2 linked regions of the Kluyveromyces lactis genome follow. Each later gene encodes a partner of the first gene's protein in a complex. Links are inferred from orthologs where the notes say so. Each region holds a gene or a part of one and is shown in the gene's direction. Other genes may lie near its edges.

Region 1 (3,434 bases):
TTTACCAGTCATATAGCGAGCGTAATCTTTCTCCCATTGAGAATCACTTGTTTCCAAATTATTATCAGCCGTCTCCGCTTGTAACTTATCCCAGACTTCTTGGAAGTCTGCTTGATATCCATCCTCCACTACTATCTCCTCCTTGGTTTCCTCTTTATTGTCCTCCATGGTCAAATTTTCAGCCACAGCCTTCTCCAAGGCTTCAAACTGCTCATTCCACTGCTTGTCAGCGAGAACACCATCATCACTGGACATTTGCGGTGTTTGCTGAGACATGTGAGAATAATTATGTAATGAAGAAATACCTGTATGCATCATCGGCCTCCCGATCCGGGACATGCCAGGCCTGTATGAACTCATAGAATTTGTGTTGCTTATTCTTTCAACATTATTGACTCTGCTGGCTAAACCCTGTTGAGGAGATCTGCTATTAAATTCATTACCCCAGCTCCTGGAATGCTGAGCTGTATCGCCTGCTGACATATTACTGCTTCCACTATCTTGTTTCTTTAGTCCAAAACGAGGACCATGCGAAAGAATAGCACTAGGAACAGGCGCCATTCCCAACTGACCATCAGAAAAACCAGGTGACCTGTTCATAAACTGGTCCATTTGAAAACGATTTGCATTGGATACTTCATTCACATGAGTTTTGAAGTTTTGAGCAACATTACTGGCCGGATTTTGATACCCCACTTGTCTCAGAGCAGGATTCTGCTGGGCATGTTTATTCAACTGCGCGAGAGGATTTGATCCAACGGAACAATCTGCACTCATAATTGTATTATGTCAAATGAGATGGGATATTTTCTTGTTTTTAAACTCTACCACCTCCCTTGATGAGCTCCCTTAGTCTATGCTTAGTAAACCCTTTTAGCTCCCTTGATGATTGATAATAAAGCTACTAGCTCAAACAAATGAACACAATGACAAGTTCTGCGTAGAAAGTATGTAGATTTGATATGTTGATGAATCCAGTTATATATGAATTCAACCTTGGCAATGTCATGAAAGTGTTCGGTTAGTTTGTTTAAATCATGATTCATCAATCTCTGGAGTTTTTCAAAGCTCCAGAGATTGATTGAGATTATCGCCATGATTTTTCGGAACAGGTTTGGGGCGATGTTATTACCCGGACATATACCGTATTAGGTTATTCGTGGCGACAATATCAGAAACTGTGCCTTTAAGTTCTTTAAGCTTTAAGACGGTGGAGCTCATCTCATTTCTCAAAGGTATTGCAATATTACACGATTGTAAAGATGGGTAGAAAGTATCACACTTTACCATGCTAAGGCCCGTCAGTATTGATGACTTAATATCAGACACAGTTCCTGCGAAGAAACCTCGGTTTCTGATCAAGAAACGAACATTTCCACAACCAGAAGAAGAAGAAGCGTCAAAGGCATTGTCACACACCGTTATCAAGAGGAAAGATAATTATAGGAATCTCGACGAAGACGAACTATACGAGGAACAAGTATCTAATGAACCAGATGATTTACTATTCCTAGCAAGAAAATCCGCCGACCTTTTGAAGAAACGACAAAATGAAGATGAAAGTATTGTCGACAATTACTTGGGGAAGCATTGGTCTGAAAAGAAATATGAAGAGATGAGCACTAGGGATTGGAGGATTCTATCTGAAGACTTTAATATCTCGAGTAAAGGTGGAACAGTAGAGAAACCTCTAAGAAACTGGCACGAATTAAAGTTAATTCCGGAAGATTTGTTAAACATTATTACAAATGATTTGCACTACAACGAGCCAACATCCATTCAGCGCAGTACAATACCGAATGTTATAAACAATAGAGACTTCATTGGTGTTGCTAGTACTGGTTCTGGTAAGACACTTGCATTTTTGCTTCCAATTCTTATAAAACTTCACGGTATACCGCCACTTAATTCAATTACTAAACATGATGGTCCTTTGGCATTAGTATTAGCACCAACAAGAGAATTGGCACAGCAAATACAACATGAGGGGCAATCAATTACGAAACTATGGAAACGACCTTGCAATATCGTAAGTATTGTTGGTGGACATTCCTTGGAAGAAATTTCAGCAAACCTAAGAGATGGATGTGATATATTGGTTGCTACACCCGGAAGGTTACTTGATTGTCTAGATTCTCATCTTTTATTTTTAAAGCAAGTAAATACGTTAGTGTTGGATGAAGCGGACAAGATGATAGATTTCGGTTTTGAAGATCAGTTGACTACAATTTTAGCAAAGACAGAAACAATTTCCAATAGACAAACAATGATGTTTACGGCTACATTCTCACCTACCATAGAAAAAGTTGCTAATGGCTATTTGAAAAAGCCAAGCTATGTCACGGTTGGAGGAGAAGAATCTAAACCAAAAATTAAACAAATAGTACGGTATGTTCCAGATGAAGAAGAAAAACTTAAGATACTTGTAAAAGATTTCCTACCAAATTACAAGGCTCCTATCATAATATTCATAAATTACAAAAGAACAGCTGACTGGTTATTCGACAAACTTAGAGAGGCTCGGTTCCGAGCAACAACTCTTCACGGCTCAAAATCACAGGAACAACGTGAACACTCTTTAAGTCTTTTGAGAAATGGGAAAGTAGATATTCTCATAGCTACTGATGTCGCTGGAAGAGGTATCGATATACCTAACGTTTCTTTAGTAGTGAATCTACAATTTCCTAAGTCGTTTGACAGCTTTGTGCATCGTGTAGGTAGAACTGGACGTGCTGGTAAAACTGGTACTGCACTTACTTTTCTAACCGAGGAGGAAGATCATTCTGCCATGGCTAAATTGTTCGATTATGTCAAAAAGAACGACTTCACCGGAGAAAATTACATCTCAAAAGAAGCTATGTCGAAATACAATGTTGACAAATCTTCATACAAACCAATTATTATATGAAAGGACTAGACTTTTTTCCTTGAAATTTTAGAGTCATGCAATATGAATTAGAGTATTTAACGTAAATAGTTACAGTGTGCTAGCTAATAATGCATTTAGGATTCCAGGTCAATCCTGGAAATACCCAATGGTCTGACGATTCATGCGTTCTTGTTTGAGCCTGTGCCTTGTCTTCCATTTTTTCGGATGTCTGATTCAAAATTATCGTGTTTTTTGATGAAGGCCAAACCGTAGACTGACGAAGTTCAAGTAAGTGAACTCGACAAAACAACTTCGACATAATTTGAAAACCAGGCATTGATAGCTTTTATATTCATTTCAAATATTTGCAATGTCAGTAAAACAAATCTGAAATCCGCTAGATGTTGTTCATGACGGCAACCAGTAATCCAAAATATACCTAATCTGGAAAAGTCAATGTGTCACATGACTTCACGAAATCTAGTCTTCATCAGATGAATATTGGGTTACCAAAGGTAAAACCGACGATGGTTTTGAAACTGTTATATTTGCAGCAACGTTGGTA
Region 2 (3,092 bases), on another chromosome or scaffold:
TAACATCTTTTACTAAAGCTTTTATCTACAGTAAAGCAAAATGGGTATTTCTCGTGATTCTCGTCACAAAAGAGCTGCTACCGGTGCTAAACGTGCTCAATTCAGAAAGAAGAGAAAGTTCGAATTAGGCCGTCAAGCTGCCAACACCAAGATCGGTACTAAGAGAATTCATCCTGTTAGAACCAGAGGTGGTAACCAGAAGTTCAGAGCTTTGAGAATTGAAACTGGTAACTTCTCCTGGGCTTCCGAAGGTGTCGCTAGAAAGACCAGAATCACTGGTGTCGTCTACCATCCATCCAACAATGAATTGGTTAGAACTAACACTTTGACCAAGGCAGCTATCGTTCAAATCGATGCTACCCCATTCAGACAATGGTACGAATCTCACTACGGTCAATCTTTGGGTAAGAAGAAGAACACTAAGGCTGAAGAAGAAACCGCCACCACCTCTAAGAACACTGAAAGAAAGTGGGCTGCCAGAGCTGCTGAAGCTAAGATCGAACACGCCGTTGACTCTCAATTCGGTGCTGGTAGATTGTACGCTGCTATCTCTTCCAGACCAGGTCAATCCGGTAGATGTGATGGTTACATTTTGGAAGGTGAAGAATTGGCCTTCTACTTGAGAAGATTGACTGCTAAGAAATAAGTCAACTCCTTCGCAAATTAACATATACGCCAATTTATCAAAACTCCTTATTAACCGTTATTATCACAGCCAAAGGTTCTTTTGGTCATTTTATATCTTTACAAATGTATAAAATATAATAAGTCATAGTATTTTTACTTATAACTTTCTCAGTTTCAGTACCATCAGTACTTATGCAAGGTAGTTAAAACTCTGGCTCCGATTACTAGCTCAAGATGTCCATCTCAAAAGCGTGTATCTACAGAATGTTGAGAAAACGATTGTTATGGAATAATGTACGAACAGTAGACAAGATGTATGTTATGTGATATAATGATCAGAAAAAAAGGCAAAAGTGTTTATCTGCATGATTCAAAAAAGAGAATTCAGTACAGGTCTGTGTAAAATTTGTTTCATCACGTTAAAATAAAATGAAAAGCATAAAAGGCCATAACAGAGTGTCACAGCCCCACTGTTCCTCTGAACAGTGTGTTTGTCGTTAGATTCACCGGACATTGATTGGGTTAATGAATGAAAGTGAGGTTATAGAGACGAAGACCATATTCTCTTCTAAACGTGAGTCGAGCAGTTTATAAATATTATGAAAGCAATTTCTTTCAGTTTTTTTTTATACTTCGAACTGGTGAAAAACTGTTGATACTTTTATACTCATGGATCATGTATGACGATGCAGGTTGTTGGCTTTAGCGCAGAGCTTCATAAAGCATTAGGGCACGCCATAAGGTGCAATCTATGGAACATGAATATCTAGTTTATATGTCTACTCTGATAATCAGATCTTTCGGTCCGTGTTAGTGCTTCCCATATTCGACGTAAATCCCATCTCTTTTGTAGTCATAGGCTTGGATTCTCGGCACGACACAATATGAATATCTTTCTAGATAACGTACCTGTTGGTACTACAATAGGCATTGATTTGAACCATTTCCAATTACCAGCTTCACAACCGTTCCATGGATTCAAACATATACCGAAACATGAGGGGAACACCGTTCATATCTTACATTTCCAACGAGATGAGAGTGGGATAAGATACGGGTACTGGATTAACTCAGATCGTCAAAAGTTCATCAACTTCCAATTCGATCCAATCAGGGAAATAATGGTACCTCAATTGGAAATTGACAACAACTCTGCTGTAAATAAGTTCGATAACTGCCAACATTTGATGGTAGAATACCCAAGCAATGAGTATTCCGAGGAATGGCAAGAATTAGTGAAATATATCCGCTGGAAGGAAGTTAGACTATGGTGCGAAAGCGAATTCAACAGCGAGTCATATGTATACGTAGATTCCTCAATGACCAGCATGGAAGAAGCCAACATGCTTCAGAAAAGGGTTGGTGATGTTAGACACAATATGATATTGGCACCAACAGATGAGATCACGTTTCGATATACTCCAATTCGATTCAAGGACCCTGAATCGATGAGGCCCGAATTCAAGATGCAAGACTTTCTCGATAAATCGTGGTATCTAATGCAAGTGATACTAATAAAATATCATTACTCAAATTTGAAATCATTATTCGGAGAACTACAATTCAGTTACTTGAACAGCATATTGTTCGCCAACTATGGATCCAGTTTACAATGGCATAACATAATTGAACTAGTCTGCTTCAGCGATTGCCTTACAGAAGGAAAGTATAAAGAGATTATGGAACAATTGGATAGTTTGTTATGCACGCAGATGAAGAGAATACCGGAAGAATATCGAGAATTTCTCATCAACATAGAACTTTTGCAAAAATGTGTCAGGCGCAGTAAAGTGCCATTACCATCTTGGAAGACGTTAATCCAGGAACAATTCCTCAATGAGACGTATATTGAAGAAGAAGATCAAGACCACGAAGGTAGCTACAACGAAGATGACAACGAAGACGAAAACGAATATGCACCAGCGATAGCATCCCAGGTGGTATACACTAGCAGATAACAACCACAAGGGAAAAACCAATCACGTGACAGCTACTTACGAATCTATATTTTCAGAACCTGCCAGAGGGGACTAGAAAAAACCCGCAAGCGAAGGAGCAAATGCCACAAAGTCACGTGACTAATTGCTACTCCGGATAAAAATTTTGACGCACAATGCGGATCAAGCTTTAGTCCTCGCTTAGACAGGTTAGGACAGGACATGACATGGAAGGAAATTCACTCAACAGAATATCAGACAGCGCCCGAATGGTCTGACCTGAACCGTGTAGTACCCAGCCTAGCTCCCAACACTATCATTACGTATCGAATCACACAGAAGAGAACCTGAAAAGAAAAGTGGTGCTTTTGTGGTGGATCGTTATGGAACATCTGCAATTTGCAAAGTGCAGAAAATAGGGAAAAAGAAAACTAAAATAGAATTTTAGGAAGCTTCTCGGTCTTTCTAAGGGCGAAAAGTAAGATAATTGTGCGATGAGCTGGGATTATTATAGAACGAGACCGAGAA

The links.
Region 2: PRP28 (region 1) and AAR2 share a complex: the UniProt entries of both Saccharomyces cerevisiae proteins name them as parts of the U5 snRNP complex. The link is inferred for Kluyveromyces lactis from reciprocal best matches to the Saccharomyces cerevisiae genes PRP28 and AAR2.

The regions. Positions count from the first base shown.
Region 1 is NC_006039.1:1,338,913-1,342,346, reverse strand, and holds PRP28 (mRNA splicing protein PRP28), read left to right. Parts: upstream 1-1,288; coding exon 1,289-2,908; downstream 2,909-3,434. Other genes in the region: PEX5 (Pex5p), read right to left, coding at 1-777; active spliceosome conformation promoter CWC2, read right to left, coding at 3,350-3,434. UniProt on the Saccharomyces cerevisiae protein: ATP-dependent RNA helicase involved in mRNA splicing. May destabilize the U1/5'-splice site duplex to permit an effective competition for the 5'-splice site by the U6 snRNA, resulting in the switch between U1 and U6 at the 5'-splice site.
Region 2 is NC_006041.1:1,818,938-1,822,029, forward strand, and holds AAR2 (U5 snRNP complex subunit AAR2), read left to right. Parts: upstream 1-1,511; coding exon 1,512-2,585; downstream 2,586-3,092. Other genes in the region: RPS8A (40S ribosomal protein eS8), read left to right, coding at 41-646. UniProt on the Saccharomyces cerevisiae protein: Component of the U5 snRNP complex that is required for spliceosome assembly and for pre-mRNA splicing. Involved in splicing pre-mRNA of the A1 cistron and other genes that are important for cell growth.